Linked DNA regions of Alligator mississippiensis. The protein of the gene in region 3 interacts with the protein of the main gene of each other region in a pairwise test. Links are inferred from orthologs where the notes say so. Each region holds a gene or a part of one and is shown on either strand. Other genes may lie near its edges. The genes, in order: BAHD1, INPP5D and KHDRBS3.

What was found.
Region 1: the proteins of KHDRBS3 (region 3) and BAHD1 interact in binary tests that used the Homo sapiens proteins (3 or more experiments, as listed by UniProt). The two-hybrid records come from large-scale screens. The link is inferred for Alligator mississippiensis from reciprocal best matches to the Homo sapiens genes KHDRBS3 and BAHD1.
Region 2: the proteins of KHDRBS3 (region 3) and INPP5D interact in binary tests that used the Homo sapiens proteins (3 or more experiments, as listed by UniProt). The two-hybrid records come from large-scale screens. The link is inferred for Alligator mississippiensis from reciprocal best matches to the Homo sapiens genes KHDRBS3 and INPP5D.

Annotation. Positions count from the first base shown.
Region 1 is NC_081825.1:241,372,170-241,381,814, forward strand, and holds the start of BAHD1 (bromo adjacent homology domain-containing 1 protein), read right to left. Parts: upstream 3,971-9,645; 5' UTR 3,591-3,970; intron 1-3,590.
Region 2 is NC_081830.1:38,844,777-38,854,780, reverse strand, and holds the start of INPP5D (phosphatidylinositol 3,4,5-trisphosphate 5-phosphatase 1), read right to left. Parts: upstream 4,438-10,004; 5' UTR 4,144-4,437; intron 3,659-4,143; 5' UTR 3,657-3,658; coding exon 3,523-3,656; intron 1-3,522. Other genes in the region: NEU2 (sialidase-2), read right to left, coding at 9,241-10,004. UniProt on the Homo sapiens protein: Phosphatidylinositol (PtdIns) phosphatase that specifically hydrolyzes the 5-phosphate of phosphatidylinositol-3,4,5-trisphosphate (PtdIns(3,4,5)P3) to produce PtdIns(3,4)P2, thereby negatively regulating the PI3K (phosphoinositide 3-kinase) pathways.
Region 3 is NC_081826.1:12,062,022-12,071,807, reverse strand, and holds the start of KHDRBS3 (KH domain-containing, RNA-binding, signal transduction-associated protein 3), read left to right. Parts: upstream 1-5,485; 5' UTR 5,486-5,682; coding exon 5,683-5,770; intron 5,771-9,786. UniProt on the Homo sapiens protein: RNA-binding protein that plays a role in the regulation of alternative splicing and influences mRNA splice site selection and exon inclusion. Binds preferentially to the 5'-[AU]UAAA-3' motif in vitro.

The DNA.
Region 1 (9,645 bases), on a different chromosome or scaffold from region 3:
TTTCAACACCAAAATATTTCAAGCCAATGTTTGAAGAAGAGTTTATGCTTCCCAAATAAGTATTCATCACCATCTTAGTAAAATATCCACATATTATATGTAAGCACACTCCAATCCCAACACGCTTTCACCACAAAGTGATGATTATAGCCAAGAAGTGACATTAAATGGATCCAAATATTGTGGTCAATGAGGAAAATGGAAAATAGAGAAGAGACCTGAGATGATGAAAGGTACATCTGGTGTAAAAAGAAAAGTTGCTCCCTTAGCAATCCACCAAGAAATTTATGCACGGTCTCAGAGGCTTTCAAAGTAACCAAACCCCAGCTAAGAATCCGTATCACTTCTTTATCAAGAGTGCATGTCAGACACTGGCACTGTGGTTTTTCTAAGACATGAACCCATATCTAAGTGTCAGAGGGAAAAGACCTACCCAACTGCATCATCAACTATGGATTAAAACTTAGAATTCTAAAAAAAGCATAGAACAATTTTTACCAGATAGCTAGACCTTTCAATGCCAAAAAACTGTGATGGCACAGAAGTACATTACCAGGGTCACAGCACTACATCATTCAAGGTAATGTTTGTTATCTACTGATACCAAACATGACCACCCAGATAAGATTCTAGTTAGATGAAGTTCCACAAGAAATTATTTTTCCTTCTACAGTAATTCTGCTTCTTTAATGCTAATTTGTACTCCTATAAACAGGGCTATACTTCACAACCCTGGTTCTATAGCACTTTACTAAGCAGGCTGGAAACCAAGTCTTAGTAAATTAACTAGGAAAATAAATACAGTCCCTGGAACATCACTTCTCCAGTCTTACTTAACAGGATACTTGAGCTAATTTAAAAACAAATATTTTTATATTTAAGATACATAGACACACAAGTTCTTTGTAAAAATCTAAACTCTCACAGCTCAGTAGGAGACAGACTGGGTATTTAGCACTTGAGAAAATGTGAAAGAGAATTTAAGATCGTAGGTGGAGTACGTTAGCATGATAGTTCTGTTAAACCAAGCCACACTAAATCACTTAATGCTGACATTTAAACTATGATAAGATTTCAAAGGCAATCGCCCATTAAAATAAACCAGGTCCACTACATTGTTTTTCACTCAGTCACATCTGGACGATTTTTGGCACAAGCAGAATGACTAGCAACTTAAAAATGAAAACTTAGATCCTGGAGCACAATTTACAGCCACAGTAACAAAAAGTACACAGAGCTCTGCCCCAAGGTAGCAGGTCGGACTGAGCAAATTCTAGTTGTGGCAGATTGATAGAAAGGTCAATAAACTGAGGTACCAACTGCCCAGAAATGTCATTTTCTTTGAAGTTCATCTGCACCTGATGATTCAGACTCTGTATAGGGAAGGAGCATCAGGGGCAGTTTTACTTAATAGACAGACACTATATATTTACACACACACACCCACCCACCCACCATGCAGGCAAAACAGGTTTTAAAATTTAATAATTTCAAAGTTTTCCCATGAACTATCCACAGATCTTTATAAAGAGATTAGGCTCCCATGATGCATTTCAGAATAAGTCCTAGGTTGTGCCAGACAAAACCTGGGAATTTTGCATCTCCATTTATCAAGCTCAATGGTTGTCAAACTGTAGTCCACAAAGCACTCACAAGTCTGCAGAGATCTGGCCAGTCACATGGTGCTGGCTCCTGCATCTTGTAGAAGCAGCTGGAAAGAAGGAGCCAGTGAAGCTGCCTCCATTAGGAGCTACTGCTACACAAAAGGAGAAGAGGAAACAGAAGCAGTGAGAGCCACCAACAGGAGAGAAAGGAATATCCAGCGAGACTGGAACCAGACGAATGGACAGCCAGCATAGGGAAAGATGCTTAAATTGAAGAGTAAAGTGCAATTAACTCTTGCATATTCCATTTTAAACAGCATAAAACAACTGCATAACAAACACTCTAAAAAAATAATCTCTTTCTAATATTGCTCTTCCATGCAAATACCTGCATGTATTGTCAGATAACCGGACTCAAAATGGTAGGATCAGATTGTGTATTAACAGCATCTGAACCACATGCAGAGACAACTGCTCTAGTGAATTAACATTTATTCACACAAGACAGTTACTTCAATGCCAGCCTCACAACACAGGAGTGACTCGCTCACAAAAGCCAAGCACCTGCCATCATACATGCATTTGCTGTAAGTATCTGCTCAGCCTGCCCAAACTGACTTGACTGCCTCCATCCTACCCTACACATACCTTTACAACAAAACAGTTAGGAAGTGCCAGAGGACCTCGCTCAGACGGGCATATAGCCAATGTGCGGAGCCTGCTCCTCAGCCATCTACATGTGCCTATGCAATGGGCTCCATAAAATCAGAGCCTGGTATTTTCCCCTGGCATCAGGTTAAGATCAGCTTAGCCAGTTCTCTGGAGGGGAGTTGGTGGGGGAAGGCAACAAATGACACCTGGTTTCCAGAGCCCCCTGACAGACTCTCCCTCCATTGTTCCCCTGAACATCGCGGCTTCAGCAGCGCATGTGGAAAACCCCTCTCAAGTTGGCGTTTCTTCCCCCTACTAAAAGGAGCTGCTGTGGAATAGGTAGGAGGCCATTCTGTACCCGGCTCTTTCTATAGAAACCCCTTTCCTGAGTCACTGCCAGAGGTTTTCTCCCTGAGGACTGAACCGGTAAGTCCCAGCTGGGGCTGGGGCCCGGGGGTGAGGTGCCTCCCCAGCTGCCCACCCGCCGGGAGGGGAGAGCGCCGCGCTGCCTGTCTTTGTCCTTCGCAGCCATCTGAATCGGGACATCTGTCTCCCAGGCTGGAGGGGCGGGGGCCCCTGAAGAGCAGCCGGGGCCTGCAGGCAGCGGCCCTGGCCCCCGGGCAACCCCCTGGGGCTGCTTTTTGAGCAAGGTCTTTGAAAGCGGGGGAGGGAGGGCCAGGAAACAACAGCCAGGCCAGGGCCCCCCCCCACCCCGCATGTGCTGCGGGGCCGCGGTGCTCGCTCGAGCCCCGAAGTGAAGGATTTTATTATGTAACTTTCACCCGCGGCCAGTCCCGCACCGGCCCGGCCCGGCCGCCGCCCGGCGCACCCACCTGCCACAAAGGCCGGTCCCCGCCGCGCCGCCCGGGGAGGGGGCGCCGCGCCGCCGGCGGGGTCACGGGCGGGGGGAGCGCAGCGGCGCCCTTCAGCCCGCCCCGCCGCCGGGATGCCCTTCGCGGCCCCGGCCCGGCCCGGCCGCCCCGAGGGCCCGGCCCGGCGCGGGAGCCTCTCGCACGGTCGGGGCAGCCCCGAGGGGCCGCGCTCGGCGGTGGCGGCGGGGATGCGGAGCCGAGCCGGGCCGGGCCCTGCCGCTCCAGTCCCCGGGGGCGCTGCCCCGCCCGACACACCCGGGCCGCCCCGCGCAGGCACCCGCCGCCCCGGCCCCGCAAGTTGGCGGCTTTCCACTGCAGCCGCCCCGGGGGGCGGCACCTGCTCCCCGGCCCGCGCCCCCACCCCGCCCGCCCGCCCGCCCGCAGGGCGCTCCCCGGGGAGCCGGAGCAGCCCCCGCGCGGGATGGCGGCTCCCCCAGCCCCGGCCCCGGCGCGCGGGACTCACCGCGGCGCCTCTCGTGCGGCCCCGGCGCGGCGCGGCCCGGCCCGGCCCAGGGCAGCCGGAGGCCCCGACCGGGATGGATCCAGCGGCTGGAGCCCGGCGGGGCGCCCGAGTCCCGGGCTCCACGCTGCTGCGTCAGCGCCTCCTCCTCCGCCCCCGCCTTCTTCGTCGCCGCCTCCTCCGCCTCCGCCTCCGCCTCCTCGGAGCTCCCGGCTGCGGGATGGGGATGGGGACGGGGCGCCCCCGGCGCGGCGCGGCTGTGCTCGGCGGCCGGCCCCCGCACGCAGGCCGGAGCGGGCGGCGCCGCTGGACAGGAGGGAGGCGGCTCAGCGGCGGCTGGCGCTGGCTGCGCGCTGGTGCTGCTGCTCTGCCGCTCGGCTCCAACTCCGCCAGAGCAGCGAGCGCCTCGCTCCTTCCTGCTTCCTCGTCCGCAGCCAATCAGCGTCCTCCCCAGCGCCGCTCGCTTCGCCGCGCCGGCCAATCACGCGAGCCCCTGCCCGCCGCCGCCAGCCAATCCCGCGCCGAGCCCGCTCCGGCCGAGCCGCCCCCCCCCCGGTCCCGGCGCTGGAGATTCCCGGCGGGCGTGGCGTGGTCCCGCCATCCCCGCGCTGCATCCCCGGCCCGGCCCGGCCCGGAGCCCCTGTCTCTCCCCCGCCATCGAGTGGCAGAGCCGCCCCGGCCCCGGCCGCGCTGCGCCCACCCAGGTCGGCGACCTCGCAGGGAGCCCCACGCGGCGCCCCGGCCCAGCCCGCGAGGCCGCCTGCCTGCCCGCGGCGCGGCCGGGAGAGGACAATCCGCATGGCAGGAGCGGACAGGGGCTGCTCGGGAGCCGGCGAAACTCGCAGCAGGGGCGGCTGGGCTGTCACACCCCCACCCCGCGCACGGCCCGGGGAGCGCGCTGCCCACAGGCGGGCTCCCGCCCACCTGCTCGGCGGCGTCGAGGGGAGGCCGAAGCACGTTCCCCGCTTTCCGGCCGTAGTGACCGCGGGGAGGGCGGAGGGAGGCCTCTTTGTCAACCCCCGCGGAGCAGCCCGTCGCCTCCTGCGCCTCCCCGGCTCTGCCAGCCACAAGGCGCCCGGAATCCCGGCGCGGGAGCCTTGCCTCTCTCCAGCCATCCCATTACCCCAAACGCCCCTTGGCACTCGCAAGCTCAACTACAAATACTGCGTGAAATGCACAAAGACTGCTAATGCCGAAGTACCAAGCATTTGTATATAGGGGACAGCTCAAATTAAGATTCACAGACATTAGGGGAGCCTTCGGCCACTGCAATAACTCTATAAAACGCTGTATAACGAATGGTTATAGGACAGGTAATGAAGCATTAAGGTTTACCTTTAAGGAGGAAAACTGACAACAGAATACATCACATCTGAGCAAGGTGGCATTGTGAGGAAACCTTAGCTTCTGAGATTTCCTAACTCAAGTCCTTGATTTTGTGACCTAACGTTACCGCAATGAAAGATGCCAAACTTTACTCTCTCTCATTGCACCATTAAAGTGAGGTGGCTCTAACTGATGGGTTCTTGAATAAACATGTCTCTTACTGAGCGTATCCTCTAGTCTACACTAACATGCTTATACTGCACCTTCTCTCCAAAGCATTAACTATATAGGCTTATCAAATGTAAACATGATGATTGAAGCACAAATACAGAGAGGACACACTTCCTTTTAACTGAACATTGGAGTGATTTGTTCACAATTTCTCCAAATGAAACGGGGTTTTTCAGCTGCATGCTAGCTCTGAAGAAAGGTTAGTTGTACCGACAGTGGAACTCAGCTTTAAGTATCTTACAGTAGTTGCTAATGATACTATAGAGAGCAATGCATCACTTCTCTCAGCAGTCAAATGTGTCTTTCCACTCCATTGTTTTTCCCCTGAACTCAAAGAGGAGGTCAAGTTACTTTTCTCTTTCACGGATGCAGGAGAGCTGAAAAAAAATGAAGACTAGGCTGCAACTTGTGAAGATAGCCAGAGGCTTGGTGATGCAAGAATGAACTTCTTGAAACAGGCATGGGAGAACTCAACACTGGAATGCTGTGGGGAAGTATGAAGAATGGATGGGTTATAAAGAGTCAACCCCTGCTGCTCTCATCATTTGTATGAAGACCTGCCTCCTGGCACCTCAACGCCCAGTGTACTAATAAAATGCTGCCACACTGTTGCATAAAACACAATCTCTTCCTTTTTTTGAAGAATCCGATACAGGAAAATAGGCCCCTTTTCATTTGCAGTCCTGTTGCTGTGCTTCAGTTTCTGTGAGAAAGGTCACAGATCCTCCCTCAGTGGTTCACTGGCACAAACTCTTTCTGTAAGCAGCCTTGTGACTTGGCTTCAATGACTTTTCAGTTCCTTTGAGGGTGGCCAATTTTACTTGATAGCCAGGAGGGAGCGACTGTCCTGGAGCTTCCCTGCCCCGGCGGTGTGCACCTCCCCATGCTGAAGGGACACACTCTCCTTGCTGCCCAGACAGCAACCTAAGAAAATGGACTCTGCCCTCTTGGCCTACTGTGATGCACACAGCAGTTTCTCCTATCTACTGCAGCAGCTGCCAAGACTGTATAGTAAACATATCCATTGATAGCATGTGTCTTACATATTTTTAAGGGATGTTGTGGAATAACAGATTATTTTTGTTATCACATCACCATCATTCCCCTCCACTGAGTCCTACCACACTAACCCCTTTCCTCTTCTGATAAAAGGGGGGGGGGGACAAACAAAAAACATTAATTACTTCAGAGTCTCAGCACTCAATCAATAAGAGGACACCATGGGCAAAGTTCCACTGGGACTGAGCTGGACCATGCAGCCTATTCTGGAAAAAAATAAAATGATGCTCCCCAAAAACTGTCAGCCTGAAGTAACAACTCAGGTCAGTATAAGGTCATTGTCATTGATGGACAGGTATCTACAAAGCACTTTTTCAGTGTCTTTTCCCATTCCCTGAGAACCTAACTAGACAGGATTGCATTCTGTAACCAAAAAGGGATGCTACTCTCCCTGGAGAACTGAAGTGAGACACCCATAGTACAGGCTCGAAAAGTTGAGTTTATCAAGCAATGTTGGTTCTTTCATGAATAAAAAGGTTATATGTTTTAGGGTTTGGGGTTTTTTTGCTTGTTTCTGTTTTTGTTCTGCTTTTATTTTTACAGAGACTAGGGAAGGAATCCATTTCCCTCCTGTCTGAATGGACATCAACAAGGTCAGCCTCCCTGATTTTCATCCACTCCTATGCCTGTGCCATCTACCTCAGAACTTCTCTAGCAACTGTGGCATGTTTGTAAGCCATTTCTTTACCAACATTGCCAGGAAGCAGGAAGATGTTTGAAGGCAAGCATGTGCCAACTGGGACAACCCAATCACAGCATAACAATCTCTGCTAATAGCAAGAGGAAACCAACAAATGCAGTAAGCATCAATTAAGCCACAGAAACTGGGTTAAAGACCATTTTTAAAGGTCTGTGTAGAATTCAGCAAAACTGAAGGAAACCTAACATACTAAAATATCCTCTTTCTTCCCAGTGTGCCTGTGTACTGTAAAGAATCTGGAATGCAGGATCAGCCATTATTGACATCACAGCAGTGCCAAGGGTGGGAGATAAGGAGGAAGCATTTCAACCATTTGGAGACACTGATCCACTTTCTAAACTTGTATGCAAGCTCCGTTGTTTCCTTTGGCAGTTTATGTAGATATGAACTTTAAGTCAGATCTCAGCAGCGTTCTGTTCATTCACCTACATGCCACTTCAATGACAAAGCACAACTGTTTTCAGCAACCAGGGCTTGCCAAATCATAATGAAGGCCTCTGTTATGGCTATATAATGTTATAGTCTACCCCAGAGTTTACAGCAATAATTTTACCTCCAGGACTACCTAAAAAGGGGGCACAGTAGGGTTGCTCAGTGATAGTATTTTCCAGACAAAAATATGCCCCAAATCAATGGCCTGATGTTACTTCAGTGAACGCAGGTGCAGACAGTTAGATATCATGAACCAGGAAGCCATGACATTTTTTGGCTAAATTATGATGACATCAGAAGCCAGGTTTTACATAGGTTCTCAAAGAAACATGTGCTGTCTGCGACTATAGAAAATAAGCTAGAGGGGTGGCTGCCTGAATGTTTTGCTATCATTTTTTAAATAAAAGGACCAAGAAACAAGCCAAGATAAACTTATCAGCTATATTGCTGAGAACAAACAAATGGGATGTATGCTAGCAACTGGCCTTTATCCAATAACATATTGCCTTGTTAAGATCCTTGTGCTTTAAGATGCTCCAATGATAAGCCTTGTAGACGTGTACAGTATTAACACTGAGTTTTCTCTTCTGTTAACAATCAGTTCAAGGAAGCATATGACAGAGGATAGTACAGTTATCTTATGGAAATGAATATGTATGCTAGTTACTCAGCAAAGCATAATGACTGTAAACAGTCTGGTTTAGAACAACAAACTTATTTTAAAATGGATTCAGACCCAACATGTAACAGCTCCTTCTCAATTGGATCAGAATTTTATTGCTTGCAGACCCTTTTCCTTTGTGCTGTAGAAACTAATGTTGCTCTGCACTTAAGAAAAAGGTAGGGAGAAAAGAAGATCCCATCAGGAAATTCCTATTATAGCTTTTTATTTCACCACTTCCCTCAAGTGTCCTGGAGTAGCACTACTTTGCTGCTCAACGTTGTTGAGTGTTAGCTAAAAAGTAAAAAAAAATCCCCCCTGCCCTTTCTTTATGAGAGCTGAAAGTGCTGCTTAACCAGTATTTCCAAGGTGAAGATTGAAGGAATCACCAAATCTGCCATACCACTGGACTGTCAAGCTGCCACTAAATAATTTTAAAACTTCCAATCTCTCCAGCAAACAGCAGCAGGAGGTTAACTAAGGTAGTAGCCAAATGCAGAGCATCAAATCAATTATAGATTTAGTTTTAGTGTGATAGAGAATGCAATCTCACTTTACTCTTCAGAAATGTTTTAATGACTTTACAACCATACCATCTTGGACTGTGATCTCATGTGCTAAATAGGGACAAGGCTGGTCAATATTTGGATGGGAGACTGACAGAATTGGAGCTGCTACATAATAATTTATGAATGCTCTGTTGACTTGGTTATGGAGTATGAATACATTGGTTTAATTGATAGGGAACTGCAAGGAAAAACAAGCAGGAAGGAAGCAAAATGGCTTGAGAGAAACCACCTCTCTCCCAAAACTGAGTTGTTAAAAGACATTACAGGAAAAGACCTGAGTGCATCACAGAAAATGGGATTCTCTCAAGAGAAGGGAAGGAAGGTAGTTTGGAGTTGTCTAGGAAAAGGAATCAAAGACATAGCTGACATAGTGACTTTAGACAAGATAAATGTGCATGAAGACTTGTTTTGAAGATTTCTGTTTCTGTCTCTAAATACTGTATTGTTAAGCAGCCATGAGGCCAGTCACAGGAAAGAACTGCAGCTGCCTGAACCCAGTCAGACCTCAGGGTTCTGCAGGTACAGATGATGCACAAAGTTCTGTAGGCAAGGACATGCCACTCTGGAAAGAGAATTGCACTATAAAAAAGGTAAGGGTAAAAAGCCCAACACTTTAAGGGGTTACACTTAAGAGACCATAAAGGGAACAGGGGCTCAGGTATAACCAGGAAATAGACCTCTGAGGAAACATGTAGGGCAAGAAATGGTGCTGATGATTCAGTAGGGGGCAATCTTCTCTCTGAACTATCATGGAATCAATACCCTGACACACTGTTAGGGGCCACTGTTGCTGGAGGTTCCATCTTTCAAATCAGGCATGAAACTTAGGCTCTGACTTTTTTTGTTCATTGAAGACCCCGCAACACATGGAACAGATGGGTTAAGAAAGGTGTCTTGATCCAATTTTAACACAGGTAATAGTACTTCTTAAATGAACCCCTAAACTACAATTGGAGAAGCTATTCTCCCCATCCCTAACATATACAACATATTTCCCCACCAACAGACCCACATATATACATCTAGCTGTTGGTCCTCAATAGTTGCTGTGTATTCTGCCCCAGAGATATCTTTTAGTAA
Region 2 (10,004 bases), on a different chromosome or scaffold from region 3:
TTTGAACATAAGCGCATACAGAGTCCCAGTGGAGGGATACAGACATAGCTTGCTGTTAAAAAGCCAAATAACCGTTTGTTTTCTTCCAAGATTTCATGATCTGAGCAATCATTTCCAGCTGAGTGCAACTCCAGAGGCTAGTCAGTAAGCTGGCAAACCAAGAGTTCCCGTTACAAAGGACGAGGGAGGAAAATGATTCGGCTCTGTGCCTTTTACAGAGCATGCAGGTCTCAAGAAACAGGCTGTAGAGCAGGGGATGATGGTGTCTGGAGGGTAAAAATTGTTGTTGAAGACCTATTTTGCTACTCTAAGTGCAGTTACAGCAAAGAGGCATGATTACACACTCATGTCTGTCTGCATGCGCTTTTCATCTGCCTCTCTGTATACACATTATTATTTTCCTGCAACATTTCTCCAGGAAAGTCATTACATGGCTGTACAGCATGAAAAAAAGGAACTTCCTGCCCCCTTGCTCCCTTTCTCATTCTGACTGATTTGCTTGCTAAACCTTAGAAATGTCTAGAGGATGACACTTCTTTCTCATGGTAATATTTCAGGTTTCATTTTTTCTAAGAGGGTAGGGAGGAAAGGGGTGCCCTGTGTTGGAACAAAGCCAAAACCTTTCAACTGTTCTAACAAAATGGCATTGTTTTGACATATCTATTTTTGGCCAGGTTTTCAATTTGGGTCACACTTTCTCACATTCACCCTCTTTGGTCAGATGTGACTAGAAAGCCCCAGACTTCACAAACCTTCTTGTCAAAAAGTCAGTCAGAATTGATACATTTCTGCAAAAACATCAGCTTCAATGAAACAGCATATTTCAACACATTACATTTTGTTGAAAGTAGCTGGTCTGGTTGTATCTAGTAAATGTTACAGCCACTTTCTCTGCAGCCATGAGACCCAAAGTGAATTTGCTGACATTAACACCAAAGCTGAGAACGCTTCAAAGGGAACAATTTATTCGACATGTTTGACCCCTTTTCTGCAGATCGACTTTGATTAGATAGATTATCCCAGTATTCCCCCCACAGTTGGATGGACACGTTTCAGTCTCCCTCACAGGCTTTTCGACACAACCACAGCTGCCAGCAGTCCCAGCATTGTTCCCAATGTCTTCAGAAGCAGGGACTGAGTGCTCAGCATTTTTGAAGACCACACCACTTAGTTCAGCACTTTACTACAGATTCAAGTGCCACACTTTTAGCTCCCATTTAAAAAAATCTTGGTTATGATATTGTTGTGTCTGTTTCCTGATCCCATGTATCTCAAACTCTCAAAGGAATGAGAACTCATGGTAGAGGTGATATATTTTATTAGACCAACTAGATTTTTGCAACAAAAAAAAATCTTTTCAACCATCTTTGTGAACCAATTGGAATAAAGAGAGAAAGAAACCAGCAACTCCCCTGGTATTTATGCAACCTCTTTTATTTGCTGTTAACAAGTATACACACAAACACAATATTGTTTTCAAAGGCATTTGTAGAAAAGAAGAGTGTTGTAGATATTTGTACTAATGTGTACTTTCATAAAGTTTTCCACTGTAAATGCTTATGCAGCCATCTTTGAAAGCCCTTTGAGAATGTGATATCCAGGTTGTAGTTGTACTGGTCCAGAGGCAAAAAAAATCAGAACTTGTGGTAGAAGTGATATCTTTTATTAGACCAACTAGATTTTGCAAAAAAAAATTCCTCATTTGCAAGCTTTCAGGCACAAGCACCCTGTTTCAGGCATAGGAGAAAAGATTCATACTCTCCTGTGAAATATGAACTTTCATTTCTACCTGGGAGAACTTTACAATATTTTCTCCTATGCCTGAAGAAGGGTGCTTGTGCCTGAAAGCTTGGAACGAAATAATTTTTTTGCAAAAATCTAGTTGGTCTAATAAAAAATATCACCTCTTCCACAAGTTCTGATTCCTTTTGCCTCTAGACCAATACAGCTACAACCTGGATATCACACTCTCAAAGGGCTTTCAAAGATGGCTGCATAAGCATTTAAAATGGAAAAATTTATGCAAATACACACTAGTACAACTATCTACAACAGTCTTCCTTTCTACAAATGCCCTTGAAAACAATATTGTATTTGTGTGTATACTTGTTATCAGCAAATAAAAGAGGCTGCATAAATATCAGGGGAGTTGCTGGTCTTTTTCTCCCTCTATTCCAATTGACTCACAAAGATGATTTTGGCACTAATTCCACGTGCTACTTGCCTGAAGGTATCAACTTCCCATTTCTCTCACAGAAACATGCAAACACCCGTCCTTAAAAACGCATGCCTCTTTCCTTCTCACACATTACTATGCCCATTCCCAACCTGCACTTCTGTGCCCACTGTGCAGACCTCTACCCCTTTACCCTCGTTCTGTTACAGTTTGACACACACATTTTCAGGATATGCTAAGCTGCCCCATACGTTATTGCAGAGAGACCTGCCTTCTGTCAGATGCTGAACTGTCCCCAGAGACCTGAGTTCAGAGGCGAACAGTTAGACCACAGATGAAGCTGACACCTCCTTCAAGAGCTACAAAAAGCACATTTTAAAGAGGAAGCAGCAATAAGGAGCTTGCTAGTTAGTTGGGTTGTGGTGACAAACTTGATTTTAAAACCTTTTGCTCACTTAAAGAGAGATGCATATGATTGGGCCCTGGTCCTAGGAAGCTCGTTTAAGTTGAGTCTGGCCATGTCCTCTCTCTAGAGTAAAATTTTAAATTCCTCAAAGTCTTCATCCAGTGGCTGTGGTGTTTCAACCCCCTCTTGATTCCAAGTCCCAGAGCTACAAGAGCAGACGTACTGCCCTCCTAACGAATCCTTCAGCTTCATTCCACAGCTAGAAATCTTTGACTGGAAATGAAACAACTGCTCAGGACACCGAAAGAAGCTTACTAAGGGGTATTTTCCCCCCAGCTTCCTCTTGTGAGCCACGTCCATGGGTAAGGTGGAATCAGACAACTTCACTAAGAGGACTGCCACCTGGAGCTACTAACACATTCACAGGATACCTGCTGGACTGAACAAGGCATTTATTGACTGAGCAGACTATACCAAACGTGCCAAGCTATAAATAAGTAAAAGGACACAACACTTGGTGGGCTCTATGCAAAAGTGCTTTTCTTTTTCATCAAAAGAAACAAGACCTAGGTACCTGACTGGTTCCCAGAGACCAGAGACCAGAGAGATAGCTAGGCCATTCTCTAATCCAGAGCATGTCAATCCAAAAGAGACATTTTTGGATCATGGTCTCCTTTCAACTCTGGGATTTGGGGCATCCCTTCCCTCGGGTAGTTTCCCCCAAAATGACAATCACAAATGTGGCTTCTCTCAATCCCTCTCCAAACCTCCAACTCCCACTCCTGCCATACTTTCTGGGCCAGAACAGGTTAAACCTGTTGCTGCTATCATACCTTCTCAGTGAGTGAGGTGGCTGCTTGCCTGTGCAGGATGTAGGGTACTCCCTGCATGGATAGGACAAGGGTGGCTAAGCACAGAGAAAAATAAAAGCCATACTTACAGCACACACAGCGCATACGCTGAGGGGATTGATTCACTGGCCCGTACGAGGAAGCTGCCATCCTTACCCACTTTGGAAAGCAGGTCCTCAGCCTTGGAGCGAGTGATGTTCCCATGGTACCAGCACTGATCCATGGCTGGAGGTGGAGGAAACCTTAGTGACAACCCTGCAGTTAATATTCGGGAGCTGCCAGAGCTGTCTGTGTGTCTGTTTAACAATCAGCAGCTGCAGCTCACCAGCTTCCTGTTTCAATGGTACAGAGGGAAAGGAAACTGAGCTGAGGACAACTTCCTCAGAACTCAAAACAGCTCAGAGCGACCGTGAACAGCCCTGCAGCCTCTGCTCCTCTTCAATATACTGTTGCTCAAGCAGTTAACAGTCTGTGTCCCCCACAAGAAAGGACCAGCCTGGGGGACCAATTCTATTCCCTCACTTTGGGACAGAGCCACAGATTCCATGGCATTTCCTCCCATTTACGGTGCTGTAACCAAAAGCTGAGCCAGGCCCTAAATGTCTCTATCCCTCCCCTTCCTTCTCACTCTCACTTTTTGCCTCTCCCTTTTTGTCTGCTGCAGGACCCCTTAAAAATAAACAGGAATATTAGAGCAAGATTCACTGTACCTCAGGGTCCTCAGGATGCTTCTGTCTGACTTGTCCTATTCTTGTCTATCTTCAGTAGCCCGACCCCAAAATCCAGCTGGTCATCATATGGGACCTGAAGGAATCTACAAACTATGCCTTGCCTGCGTGGCAATAAGCTAGTCTCATAATTTTGTCCAGGGAACCAGTGACAAAAACTGCACATCTCACTATCACGCAGCATCAGAAGAACTCAAAGGTAACCCGTATACCAAAACCCCACAATGGGATGGGATAGAGTCACACGAAGAGGGAGACTAGTGCTTTCACTTCCCCTTTCTTTGTCTGCACATGGATTTCTGTCCTTCCCGTGGGCTCTCCTTACGGCATGCTCAGTGCTGATCTCCAAGGCAGCAAACATGACAACTGAGGGTGTGTCTATAGCAAGCAAGGAAACCATTGCAGGGGCACAGACCGCGTGACATGTTTGGTTGTCTCGCCTGTACGTACAACCACTCTGTGCTCGGTGGAACTGTTTTGGCACATGTATACTTTGGCTCTAATTCAAAGCAGCTGGAAAGCCAGTTTAACCAGGCTGCTCAGGATTTTGATTACAGAGAGAAAGCCCTTAGATGGTGCAAAGTCAGAGCCGGTTCTAGACAAATTTTAGCCTCCTATGGCTTACGGAATTTGGTGAGAGAAGGGTACAGGAATCTCGGTTGTTGTGCTATTGTGTTCTGGTTGCCAGAAAGCCCCTTAGAGCCAGGACGGCATAATGTAATGGAACAGACTGAAGTTCCACTGGGGAATTCAACTGTTGCTGGGACAGGTCAGGATTGTAGGGGGTGGGAGGGAGACAGAGTTGTCTTCGTCTAGGATCTGGCTTTCTGTTCCTCACAGCTATGGTTGTACCAGTACAGTCAGAGTCTCCCAAAGCATCTATTCCACAGTGTCCATTTTGCTATTGTGACTGGGGCTTGTGAGTAACTTCTAAACACAAGGCATGACATTACGGGGTAGAGATAGGACCACCAAGAGGACTGGCACAGCTGCAACGCTTGTGGTTTCCTGTCCATACTGAGGAGTAACTGTTTGTTGACCTCACTTGGCCCAGATCCACCACACATTTTTAGGTGCATGACTCTCATTGACTTTGATGGAAAGTACGAGTTAGGTGCTTAAATTCCTTTGTGTACCTCAGGTATCCAGGTTGTAGCCATAATGGCCTAGAGGAAAAGTCAATCAGGACTCATAGTAGATATCTTTTATTAGACCAACAAGATTTTTGTAAATCTTGTGCATCTCAGCTCTTGTGCCATGCCAAAGGCCTTTTTGCCTGTTTTAAAGAGTGTCTGAGTGTGAGAAAGAGAGATTATAATTACTTTTCCAATCCTGCTTATAGTAATGTCCTGCCAGCTCCGGTGTTGGCTTCTCAGGACCTTCTAAAGTTTCTACTTGCAGTAGCTCTTCTGCACTGTTGCTGCAGCAGGAAGCAGTACAGCTCTGAATGTCAAGGCAACAGTAAACCACTGGTTGACATAACAGCAAGGAAACTTCCATATGGTGAAGATATAAGCAGACACAGAATGAGGGGGACTGACAAACAAGGCTATTTTTGCCAAAGTGAAACTGTCTTATATTAGAGGTTCTGATGATTTATTTTAAGTTCCAGGTACTAGAAAAGACATAAGCCAAGTTCAAGCCGTTAAATGATCAAGTATTCTCTTGTTTAATGCTACTCCTAAGAAAACAAAACTCTCTTGCAGCTAAGTTCAGTGTTCAGAGGCCTCAGAGCAGTCCTGTGTGCTGTGACTTCCTTCAAATGTGTAAATCCGCCAGCCAGCTATGTAGCACCCCCTCCCCCATAACTCAGGCGTAAAGAAGATTGTGTTCTAGACTCGCTTGTTCAAGATTTCACTTCTAGCCTCACTTCTCAGATGTTTAGGGTGTAGATTCCACTGACAGTGCAGTTCCAAATGGTTAGATGATTCCTACTGCCCTAAAATAAACTGCAGCATGATCCCTGCTGGCAACTGGATAAGACTACATCCAAAGAGACTGGAGCTGAGTTCTCATGGTGCTATGGTCTGACTCTTATTACACTGGGAAAAGAATAAAACTGGATTCCCACATGATTAGTGCATGTGGATTCAAGGAGTCTGAAGCCTGATTTCCAAAGGATAAATCATGAGGTATACTGCTTCAGCAAGAAGATTGCAGTCCACTTGCTATTGCTGATAGTTATGTAATTTCAGCAATGAAATTTCCTCCTAAATATGTTTGTCCAGGTAGGTCTACTGAATAGGTCTGATGAGCTATTCTAAGGAAAGAAGGAATTATAGGACAGTTGTCCTCTGACACTTGTCTAGCAGAGAACTGGCATTTTATCATATGAACAGAAGTGGTGGTGTTGTAGTCATTATGTTACATTATACTATACTGAAGGTGACATTAAAGGGCAGAATTCACCAGTTGCAGCGACTGCTTTCTATCTCTACTTGAAATAGGAGATTTTGAGGTACACAGTAGCAGGTGTGTCTGCTGTGACCCCCTTAGTAACATATAAAACTAAAAATGGGAAAATCTCAGTACAAGACTCCAAACCAGAAAGGCAGAATTCATGACTGCACTTTTAGATAACAGCAGTGGCAGCAATATTTAATTTTAATTTACTTGAGAGAATGAGGCCACAGCTTCATGCTAGATAATCAAATTTGAAGTCTTGGCTGCCTATGGACAAAGCTATCACATTATTTCCAAGTGTGGGGGTGTTATGCCATCTTGTCTATTAGCAGTTGTAGAATGAACTGCAGTTGCAGCTGCAGCTGCAGTCAAGCTAGGACTGTCCAAGGTGACTGTGAACACACCAGTGTGGTGGATAAGTGGACAAGCACTGTTCACGTGATCATTCAAAATGCACAACAACTACTGACTCAAAGAAAGAAAACTCACCAACCCTGGTTGAGCAGTTCATTAACCCTGGGTATCTTACTTGTTTGCTGCCAATAGATGTCATTGAGCTTGGACAGCTGAGAAGTGCCCAGAGAAACTCTCTCCATCATGACGCAGAAGCATTTCACAGTGGTATTGCCAAGAGAAGTTAAATCAGTGAGCAGATTCTATAGAAGAGCGCTTAACTTTGTCAGAGTCTAAAAACAGGCATACCCCCAGGTCAGGCATTAATAGCATGCTGTTGGCCTCACAGAGACATTTTTGGCCTCTGGCCTATATCTGAGAAGAGATGAATGTATTGCAACGTGTCATGTTTTTATCAGCACGTGAACTGCTTCTCACTTTGCTGCTACTTTAGCCCTATATGCTAATGAACTTGCAGCCTGGGGAAAGAAAAAGCATGAGAAACTGAATATTTATTCAGGGTGGTCGTACCGTCTCTTAGCTCCCACCGTACTTTGCACCCCATTCTGTGCATATGGTGACCCCTACTATAACAGGAGCCCTTCAGCAAAAGTAGAGAAGCATGAGAAATTAAGTGAAATCAAGAATCCTCCTTTTTTAACTGCTTCCAGATTTCTCACAACATTGCTATCGTCCCCTGCTAGACACATAAGCAACAAGAAGCAAGTGACAGAGGCACTTGAGCACACAGGCAATCCTCTTGGCTGTGCTAATGAAAGCCTGACATGGGCCCACATGGCCACTGTTTTTGCTGGCATGGAACAATCCTACCAGCAGAGCCCTGAAAAGTGCATATTTTGCCTCATTAATAAAGCAAACATTGGTTTGCCTTGGAATCATTATGCACAAGTGCACACACATGGGAAGTTTACCATACAGCAAATAGCCTGGACTGATCTTTATGCAAAAGCCTGTCCTAATTAAAACTTTTACTTCTCTCCACAGTTCTACCTCTGCCCTCATCTTCCCCTGAGATTCCTTCTCTCTTCCTTATTCCTTGTTCACTTCTGGTTACTCCTTAGGTACTCCTAACAAAATCGTCTACTTTCAGTTCACCACACATGCCTTGAGTAGTCTCTCAAGTTGTTTCCTTCAAAAAAAACCTGCCAGAGTCCCATCTACTCCCCAAAGCTCTCCAACTCAAATGTCCTCACATCACTCCCTAGAGTTTTATTTCACTAGCATGACACTTGGTGCCTTGACAAACTGAATGAAGCAAGGAATTATATTAGCTGTTTGACAGGTCCCACTGCCTGGCACACCAGAGACATTTTATTACAATGACAGTCAGGCTCTCTTGCTAGACTTTTAAGCAGTCTCCAGACTTGGATAGAGAGACAATTTCATGGCCTACTCCTGGTATTAATAAGATATTCCTGTCTCTCCTTTCCAGACAATAAATTTGACATTCACCCTAGTGACAAAGCTTACTGGGCCTGACTGCAGTTCTACCTCAGACAGCTGAATCACACAATGCAAGAGAAAGCAAGGAAAGCAAGATGGGAGGAACAGATGCATCAAAGGGAAGGTGAGGGGTCACAGGTCCAAGAAGTTTGGGTATTCTAAGAGGACTATCCTGAATTAAATACGATGGATAAAGATGAAAAAAGCTACAAAATTATGACATAAGAGAGCAATTTGACCACAGCATCTTGGCTTCCCTCAAGCTGAGAGAGCAGGAAGGTTAAAAGATCAAAAAGAGCTTCTAAACATTTCTAAGCAGAAAGAGAAGATTTCAGGGGCAAAGGTGTTTTGTGAAGGTAATGATGACATGCCTCCAAAATGTGGGGAATAACAATGATATCCTTTCCAGCGCTGCACTTGATGGAAAAACATCTCAGGCAGCCTATCTAAGTACTGGTGAGCATGAAATGGCTGCTATGTGTGCTCACGTAACCCCTTGCCTACCACTAAATTTCTCTAGGAAACAGTCAGTGTGAAATGTGAAAGGTGCCACCCAAAAATCACATTTGCTTGCAGTACATGGCAGCCTGATTGGAAACAGTTGAGGAAAGAACATGTAAAAAGAAAAAAAGGAGAAAAACACAAACCTATTTCCAATAAATTTAATAAATATTGTCACCTATGCATGCAACACTACGGCAATAAGAGCAGGATGAAGTCAGAAAATATAGGCCTTTTGCTGACAGACAAGTAGAAGTTAAATTGAGAATCAACTAAGGTGACTTACAGATGGGTACTGAAAGGTTTGTCAGCTGGGGCTCAGCACTGTGCTGGAAAAACTTGTTTCAGCGTGAACATGAGGAAGACTATCTTCTCACATTGCAATTTGGTGCCAAACTCAAAGAGGCAGCAGAACAAGGGTGAGCCATCTGGACCCTGGCCCAGGTACTGCATATCTGAGTAAGCACATAAACCCTTACAGATGATGCTGGGTTCTGTCCAGGTTGCTGGATCTAAGGGACACTTGTTGAGATACACTCCTAAGTCTCTCCGTCCAGTGGGGTCTGTTGGATGAGTATAGAGCACCCAGCTGTCTTGACACCCTGACTTCTCATCAGTGGGACACGGAAAGGCTGTAACACTCCCGTGACAGCCATGGGGAGGTTCCACCAGCTTTGCTATCCGCTGACCACTTTCAAAATCCACCCCATGGTTGTAGCTCACAGCCTGGACTCTGGCACCTCGGCTGCTTCTAGCATTGCAGTACAGCACTCTCTCTCCACTGATGTGCACTTCTGTGACCTGGCACTCCACTGCACTCTCCTCCACAAAATTCCCCAGTGTCCAGGTCTTTCCATGGTCAGAACTGACAAAGCAGAAGGCGTGGGGGGAGGGTGTTTTCCCAGGGTCAAGTATTCGATAGGCATAGGCAGGAATCACTAGATTTTGCGACTCATTGGACAACTGCAGACCATGGCCAGGTCCCACTGCAAAAGTGGCCCACTCCTTGTGTGTGGTGTTAATCACAGAGTTAGTGAGATCCTTGGCTGAGCTCCAGGTGCATCCACTGTCAGTGCTCGTGA
Region 3 (9,786 bases):
TTGGCAGAGCCCCCACTGCAGGGGTGACTGCACCTCGATTCCCAGGCTCCTGCCACCCTCATGGATAAGAGTACACCCTGATGTGGCAGCCTCTGGGGACTTTTTCAAAGTCCTCCAGGCATGTTAGAATCCCCACCTTTCCCTCCATGCTCAGAAGCACATTCCCCGCTCCTACTGCTTTCTCCACTGTCCCTGGAAGCTTCAAAGCTGCTCCTGCCCACACCAAGGGGCCATGAGTGGGCTGGGAATGTTAAAAGCTATAGCAGCCAGATTTAGGGGGAGGGGGTGGGAAGAGGGTGATTTCCCTACGGTGCCTGGTCCTTCTCCCCTCCATTCCCCCAAGCAGGTGCAGTAAAGGGGAACACCCTGGCCCCTGAACATACCCCAGGAACCACTTTGAAGTTTTATCTTGCCCCAGATGGAGGGGTGGGGGAAGGAAGCAGCTGTAGCAGGAGGAGGAGAAAGGAGAAGGGTAGGGAAGGGGGATGTTTTTGGAGACTAAAAAAAATCTCCAGAGGTTCCTGGACTAGATTTAATGCAAAAGGCAGCTATGCCACTAAATCCCCTTCCAGGGTCCACCCGGGTCTGCTTCCTTCAACCTGCACCTTCTATGCTTATATAGCTACTAGTCTTTGTTCCCTCACACCTTCCTGTTCCTGATTTACTGAAGCCCTTTGATTTAATGTCCTTATTCTGACTGTGGTGGAGAACACGGTGTGCTTCACTAGTTAGATGCTGATTTTGACTTGAACAATAGGCTAAAATGTGGATAAACTGGTAATGACTGTATTTTCTGATTTCCTGTGAAGGAGGACAAAGCTTTAGATGTATCCTTGCTACGCTGGTATTTGTTTTCACATTAAAAGCACCTGAGGTTCCATAAAACCAGAAACACTAAATTGGCCAATTCAAAGGACAACAAGAAATTGTTTTTTAGATATATTGGGAGTAAAAGGAAGGCCCAGGGAGGAATAGGACCCCTGCTAAATGGGCAGAAGCAATTGGTGACAGATAGAGGGGACAAGGCTGAACTCCTCAACGAGTTCTTTGCCTCAGTGTTCCTAAGCGAGGGGCACGACAAGTCTCTCACTGGGGTTGTAGAGAGGCAGCAGCAAGGCACCAGACTTCCATGCGTAGATCCTGAGGTGGTGCAGAGTCATTTGGAAGAACTGGATGCCTTTAAGTCGGCAGGCCCAGATGGGCTCCATCCGAGGGTGCGGAAGGCACTGGCCGACGTCATTGCAGAGCCACTGGCGGGAATATTCGAATGCTCGTGGCGCACGGGCCAAGTCCCGGAGGACTGGAAAAGGGCTAATGTGGTCCCCATTTTCAAAAAGGGGAGGAAGGAGGACCCGGGCAACTATAGGCCGGTCAGTCTCACCTCCATCCTTGGTAAAGTATTTGAAAAAATTATCAAGGCTCACATTTGTGAGAGCCCGGCAGGGCAAATTATGCTGAGGGGAAACCAGCATGGGTTTGTGGCGGGCAGATCGTGCCTGACCAACCTAGTCTCTTTCTATGACCAGGTTACGAAACGCCTGGATACAGGAGGAGGGGTGGATGTCGTATACCTGGACTTCAGGAAGGCCTTCGATACGGTATCCCACCCCATACTGGTGAACAAGTTAAGAGGCTGTGATGTGGATGACTGCACAGTCCGGTGGGTGGCGAATTGGCTAGAGGGTCGCACCCAAAGAGTCGTGGTAGATGGGTCGGTCTCGACCTGGAAGGGTGTGGGCAGTGGGGTCCCGCAGGGTTCGGTCCTTGGACCGATACTCTTTAATGTCTTCATCAGCGACTTGGACGTGGGAGTGAAATGTACTCTGTCCAAGTTTGCAGATGACACAAAGCTATGGGGAGAAGTGGACACGCCGGAGGGCAGGGAACAGCTGCAGGCAGACCTGGATAGGCTGGACAAGTGGGCAGAAAACAACAGGATGCAGTTCAACAAGGAGAAATGCAAAGTGCTGCACCTAGGGAGGAAAAATGTCCAGCACACCTACAGCCTAGGGAATGACCTGCTGGGTGGCACGGAGGTGGAAAGGGATCTTGGAGTCCTAGTGGACTCCAAGTTGAACATGAGCCGGCAGTGTGACGAAGCCATCAGAAAAGCCAATGGCACTTTATCGTGCATCAGCAGATGCATGACGAATAGGTCCAAGGAGGTGATACTTCCCCTCTATCGGGCGTTGGTCAGACCGCAGTTGGAGTACTGCGTGCAATTCTGGGCGCCACACTTCAAGAAGGATGCGGATAACCTGGAGAGGGTACAGCGAAGGGCAACTCGTATGGTCAAGGGCCTGCAGACCAAGCCCTACGAGGAGAGACTAGAGAAACTGGACCTTTTCAGCCTCCGCAAGAGAAGGTTGAGAGGCGACCTTGTGGCTGCCTATAAGTTCATCACGGGGGCACAGAAGGGAATTGGTGAGGATTTATTCACCAAGGCGCCCCCGGGGGTTACAAGAAACAATGGCCACAAGCTAGCAGAGAGCAGATTTAGACTGGACGTTAGGAAGAACTTCTTCACAGTTCGAGTGGCCAAGGTCTGGAACGGGCTCCCAAGGGAGGTGGTGCTCTCCCCTACCCTGGGGGTCTTCAAGAGGAGGTTAGACGAGTATCTAGCTGGGGTCATTTAGACCCAGCACTCTTTCCTGCTTATGCAGGGGGTCGGACTTGATGATCTATTGAGGTCCCTTCCGACCCTAACATCTATGAATCTATGAAAACACCTTCTCTTTCCAAGGCCTGTTCTTTGTGATTCATGCAGTGTAGATGGTTTGAATGTGGGCTTATCAAATTAAGGTCCTGTACTCTGCAAACGCTTTATCTTATGGTTTAGTCACAGAAGTAGGAATGTTTTTTCTCATGTCCTTCACCAAGGATTACATTCCCACATGTTCTGTGGAAAAGTTTTCTGCCTGACCTCTTAACCAACAAATGGCTGCATTTTAAATGTGTATTTACAATATTCAGTCAAGGATGAATTAAAAAAAAAAAAAAAAAATACTCTAGCTCAACTTTTTTCCCCAACTGCTTGTAATTTTGGCTTTTACATTCCCTGTTTAGTCTCACACTTTATTTAATTAGTAACTTTGATTTACCCTCTCCTGAGTTAAGTACTTTAAAATATTGCCATAGTTGCCAATAGCAAATGTTGCATTCACTTGCAACTATTAACTTCAAACAACCTATTGCACAAGTACAGGCATGTCGCATCATACACGCATTTAACTTGTGCGAATTCAACTATACGTGGGTGGGGCGGCCATCCCGTGCTGCGCCGCTGCTGCCGGCCGCACAGCTCTAAGCGTGGCTCTGCGGCGGTGGTGGGAGGTTTTGGAGGTAGAGGCAGTCACTGCTGGCACGGTAATATGTGATTTCACTATATGTGATTTTTTGCCTTTACGTGCTGCCTTTAGAACGTAACCCCTGCGTAAGATGCGGGATGCCTGTATTTTATGCCTGACTCTTAATTTTTTTGTTAAGGTCATCCTAGTTCCAAAGCTGTTTTCAGTTGTTCATAATTGTAAAACTTTTATCTTTACTCATATTTGATCTTTTTTTTTTTTTTACATATTGCATTAAAACGCTGATTTTATTTAATAAATATTGATCTTCAAGTCCTGTGTATACCAGGGAACAACAATTGTGTCAAACTGGAACCTAACCAGTGTGCCAGCAATTTCTTGATGACTGCATTTGAGTCCTTGCTCAATGGTGGATTACTTTAGAGACTGCTGACCAAATATGAATTGCTTCTGGACATGTCGAGCTAAATAGCTCTGGCTTGGGTTTATTTTGAAGATCATCAGAAAAATTAATCAAGGCAAGTATACTTTTTATTGTAACACTGTCTGTGAAGTGATGCAAGACCTGCCAGTTCGTATTAAATCTTCTATTTGATATCTTAAAATATGGCTTCATAGATTTCTAGGGTCAGGCAAAAGAACACGAACAGTTGGAGAGTTGTGTTATGTCTACACTTCCTAACTTTGCAATGCAGTTTCTTAAGCAGGGCTCGTTTGCAAGAAATGTTATTACATCTTTCTGATTATATTACAAACACTAATCAATATAAAGCTATCTGATTATCAACCTATAGTTCATACTTTGTCATGTTTTAAGGGCAACGGATCACCTGTTATTACCTTTGTTAACCTTGCAATCAACGGATACTTTAAAATGTTATATGCTCCTTTAACTTATGGCTCTTACTTGTAAAGATGGTGATTGTCCCTGTCTGTTTCTCTGGCATTTGTAGAGAGGATTCTCCGTTATTTTCTCTGATGAAATTCCTGAAGGCCAATGAGGAAGCCACGGTGTAGCTCAAAACTAAAGCCCAAGGTAAAACATGTGCTAATATACTAAGCGTATCCACGCAGATATGTAGCAGTGATAGTCTTACAGCTTGATCCTTAGCACATAAGACTGGAAGGGGCCACCCGGCTCATTGAGTCCCCTTCCTTGGGATTGTGGCCACCTGAAATGGAGGGCTGCTAGTCAGGTTCGCAGCGCCCACGCCATGGCAGCCCCAAATGGGCTCGGCTCTGGTGGAGTTGCCGCTTGCAGCGGCGCCAGCCTCAGGATGATGCACAGAGGCTTTTGGGAGCCGTGAGTACTCGGCCCTGGGGAGGGAGGACCCTTATAGAGGAAACATGTCAGTAGTCAACCTTGAGTGTTTTGCGGGGTGGGCGGTAGGGGAAGCGTTAACCTCTCGTGGAAGCATTCGAGTGATGGGGTAGCCGGGCTGGTCCTCGCCTCTCACATTCATGCATCATGTCATGTAACTTCACCTATCGATTTAACTTGTGGTTTCAAGTAATATAGTTCACGTATTGATTTAACTTCACGTATCGATATAACTTCTGGTTTCAGGTAATACAGTTCACGTATGGATATAATAACTTCAGGTATCAAGTCCTATAACTCATGAATCTCCTCTGAAAGTGCGAGACTGGCACGTGTTTTCCTAGCGTCGTTCTTCTGCGTTTCGGGCCGTGCTCAAGTGGTGTCTTCACGCTTTTTGCCCAGCTGCACCACCGCGGAGGCTTGTCTTGCATTGGTACCGTGGGGCGCGGCCTGTGAGAATTGCTGCCACTGCGAGGGTGCTCCCCGCTTCCCGCCCCCGCCTGGCTGGGCTCTTCCTGAGGGGAGGCTCCAGCGCCCTTTCTGTCCGTGGGGGGAGGGGGGGCCCCCGGGCTGCTGCTGCGGTGCACGAAAGGTTAAGAGAGGCTGAGCCGCCTCCGGCTCCAACGGCCGCCGCGCGCGAGCCCGCCCAGCCCAACGGCGAGGAGCGGCACCAGCCAATGAGAAGCCGCAGGTGTCCCGGGAGTGACAGCCGCAGCCGCCCAATAGTAAGCTGCTCAGACGCGATTGAAGGAGGCGGGTCGGCCCCGCCCAGTAGGAGGGTTCTGTGGGCGCGGCCTCTCCTCCCGGCGGGGGGGGCGGGGCTTCAGCGGCGCTATATAAACCTGCGGCGGAGGGGCCGCGCCGCTCAGTCGGCGCCGAGTGGGGCGGCGGCAGTTGCTCCGGTAGGGAGAGTTTCCCACCGTGCCGGGCTGTCTCCCTACGTCCCTCGTCACCTTCCCGCCGCTGCACAGGCTAGGGGCGGCCCCGCCCGCTGGATGCGCCCCGGGGCCGGGCGGGAGCGCTGCGGCCGCGCGGGGAGGATTTACCGCGGCCATGGACGACAAGTACCTGCCCGAGCTGATGGCGGAGAAGGACTCGCTCGACCCGTCCTTCACCCACGCGCTGCGGCTGGTCAGCCAAGGTGCGCCCGCCGGGGGGAAGGGGGTCCATCTTCCTGTGTGCGTGTGCCGGGTGCGTGCACTTGTGTGCGTGTGCCCGGTGTTGCTGCGTGTGTGCACTGCCACGCGTGTGTGCGTGCGGTGCTCCTTGTGCAGCAGCCACCGGAGCTTGCCCGCCGCTGCCTTCCCTCGGTGCCCTCTGCCGCTTCTTGCGGGTACCAGCCTCTCCTTCCTGCCCTGGTCTAAGGCAGCAGTTCCCAGACTGTGGCAGGGGTGCGCAGACAACCTGTAAGTGGTACGGGTGAGCAGATCCATTATAACTATATGACCAGCGTTTGCTGGTGGTACTTAAGGCACCACCGCCAGCACAGGTTGCAGTTGTACTTAAGGCTGCATGGTTTTAAATTAGTGGTATCAGTCTGGGAACTGCAAGGGCTGGTGTAACTTTCCGTCAACCTCCCGCTTGAATGTGACCTGCATCTCCGGGCAGCTCTCGGCTCAGCATCCTCAGCCAGGGGCACAGCCCTTTCCCAAGGGAAGCGATGCCCCGGCTTAGTCCCAGCGGTTCTGCTGCAGGCAGAAGGGAGAAGTGATTTCAGGCACCGGGGTCCATTGGAAAAACATTTTGTGTCTGAAAGCTGCCACAATTGTTCTGGCAACAAATGTTCATGGAGAAATGTTAGCAGGCATTTGCGCGCGGCGTGTTTGCACATCATGTGCAAACATCGGATTGGTTATCGATTAAACCCTCGCTGCGTTAAACTGTTTTTCTTCAGAATTCATAAAGTCAAGGCAATGGGTCGGCAGGGTTTTGAATGGTAAAATCCCAAATTTAGGACTCCATCTGTTTGGCAGCAGGCTCTTTAAAAACAAATGAAGAAGAAGGACTCTGACTTGAGCTGCTCAAATGAGTAGAAAGCAGGATTAAGTAGAAGTTGCTTTACCTAAATTATACTTATTTAAATATATTCGGGCTACAAATGTTATTAGATGGGTATAGCCTGTTGACTTTCAGGTGTTAAGAATTCTCTACTTTTTTTGAGGACTAATAGCTTCTGCTACATACTATAGGGGGGTTGCACTAATATAGGCAATTTCATGAGGGCAATAGAAATGATTTTTGCTTCTTGGTCCCCTTAAGCAGTCAGTGCTCCTCGTGTTTTGTTTTGGGTTTTTTTTTTTGAGGGGGGGGTCTTTTGGGTTTTTTCTAAGAAATTTTATATATGAAAAAAAGCAAAACAAAAAACACTTGCATAACGTATGGAAAGCGGAGAGGGGTGGGTGAGGGTGGAGGAACTAGCTCAGAGGAAGGAGCTTGGTAAAGCAAATTTTGACATAGCAGACAAGAAGCTTGGTTTAACATGTACTTGTTTTAATGGATATTTGTTCATGAAACTTAAAGCAACATCTGTGCTTCAATCATGAAGAAAATGACCCACTTGTCAATGAGTGACTGAGTGAAGGTTGCGGATAGAATATTTTCTGAATAGCAGCATTCTGCATGTGTGTGTAAAGAGGGTTTTTGAGGAGATTGTGCAAACATGCATGGTACTTGTGAGAATAGACACAAAGGATAGCTCTGTGTGTGCGGTCTGATAAGAGTGAAGCTACCAGCATTAATGCTTGAGTTTTTTTTTTTCTTTTCGTTTTATGGATGAGTCAAAAATCTGCAAAGGAAATAGGTGCCGGCAACTTGATTGGGAAGTGATATGACCTTTTAAGTTCCTTGATGCAATAATTTGATTGTTGCATCTGTGTACACTTGGTAAGTTTCTAGCTTGCAGGACTAAAAAATGGAAGGTGCTCTTGGAGCAAATGGATTAGGAAGAGCTGTCTGTTAATGGGTCTTGTGTCCATGTAGGCTCCTTTCTTCAGCTCCGGTTTTAATAAGTGAAACACTAAGTGTGAACCCATTGTGTTCAAATCTGTAGTCGCTAAAATAAAAGCTCAGTAGGTAACAACTTGCTAGCTCCATGTAAATGCAGGTTTCATTCATAACAATGCATATTTAAAGTGACTGCAGCTGATGGGTGGCTTCCCAGGCAGTTTGTATGCTGGATTGATGTGAAGCATCTAATTAATGAAAGAAGTGGAAAATGGAGGTTGTCTGCTTTCTGTAAGCGATACAAAACTGTACTGTGATTAGTGACTTCAGGCTAGAGAAACGGTTCCTGAAAATGGCTTTTTAAACCTACTAATCTAAACTGTAACAGGTGGTATTCTTTGATGTTAAATGGAGAGTGCTTTTTTTTTTTTTGTTAGAAGTGGAAATAACCCTTTCTACTGTCTGCCTGAATTATGCTGGTTTGTATTTTGAGACAAATGATTCCCCTCTCATTCTCTTTCCTTACAGTTGCTCAGCCACTTATTTTTGAAAAATTGAAAGACAGGTGAAGTTTAGCTGTTTTTGTTGTCCTCTGTTGCAAGCAAAGACATTAACAAGTCTCCAGCTATGTTAAGGCTGGGTCTCAAGGGAGCAGAGTTGTCCTGTGGCCAGAGTTTTAGTATCTGCTAGTTATTGTTTTCACACACAAGTGGATACACATGCATCTGTATGTCTGTTTTCTTCATTTGAAAGGTTAAGTTATAGAACTCTGAAAAATACATCATAAAACGCATCGGTGGGGTGAAGAACTTTAATTTGCTAATAGTAGTTCTGCAAAATGTGTTACTTCAGCATTTAGCAGTAGCTTGCATGACAACACATTGGACTTCTTGTCTTAAAGAATTGAAATAACGCATTTTTTGCCTACATACTCATTACCTTCATTGCTACTTCCATTTGCCATAAAGCAGTAAACAATAGTCTCATTGTCCCCCCAAAAACCAAAGTTTCCGGTGGTTTTAATACAATTCTTACAAATATAAATGGAAAAAAAGTTAGTTTTGAAATATTATGGCAAACAAACATTGGAACAATTCACTACTGCTTAAATTTAGTAGAACAGTAGGGGTCCTTCTCTTGGAGGTAATGAGAATATATTGTCAGTTCTGGTTTGAATGAGGCATTTACTTTTTATACTTGAGCAAAATGCATGAAACCTGTTTACTGTAATATAATTAGCTTGCTTTCTATCCACTCAATTAAGTTGGTGACAGATTAAAGCTAGATATACAGATAAATCTTTCGGTTGCTTAATAAGGGGATTGTCCTGAAAGGGTTAAGCTGTAGCTGCTGTTATATCCTGATTTAAAAAACAAACAAAAAAAAATTGTCAGAATACTCTTCTTTAAAAGGAAGGCCCCCTTCCTATGGGTGTTAGGTCACTGTAGAGAGCAGGAGGTATACATACCCCTGCCATGTATAAGCGTGAGGGTATGTAGCTTTCCATGTTTAAAATTTGGGACCTGGCTGACTTGAGAGACAAACGATAGAACTGAAAGTTCATATGAACAAACTGGAAAAATGCAAGGAATGGTACACTTGGTCCTGGTGTTGAGGCTAGGCGAGATCTTCTATAACCTTTTTGTTCTTATTTCCTATAACTTTATGATTTAACATGAATTTTTTTTTATCAACTTTTTTTTTTTTTAAAGTAGGATGAGATGTTTTCTGCAAATAACAGAAAAGGAAATCATTCCCTTTAATGAAAGGTTTTATAAATACTTTTCACTGCAGCTTCTCTCAAAAGTGACTTGTCAGCTCTGGTATTAACACACAGGTTGGGGGATGCCTTTAATATGCAATGGATTAATCTGCTCTTGGTGCAGGTAGAAAACTATTGAACGAAGGCTACAGTAGTAGGTTTTTCCTGGTTAAAATGAAATTTCAGTAATACAGCTTGCATTTGGAAGTTTGTGGTACTTACCTTTTAAGGAAAGGTAGGTAGGGGAGGCCTTTCTTTAGCTTCCCCATCCAAATGTCTCTTCAGACTTTGGAATTAATACCGTGTCTGATATTACATTTTTCTTTTGAAGCTGAGCAGTTTGCCTTGGATGGTTTTCAGTTGAGGTAGGCAAGTTGTTTGGCTTGATTTCTTGTGCTCAGTGTGGACTGCCTTCCCCCTTGTATAGGCAGACAAGGTTTTTTGGGTAGATG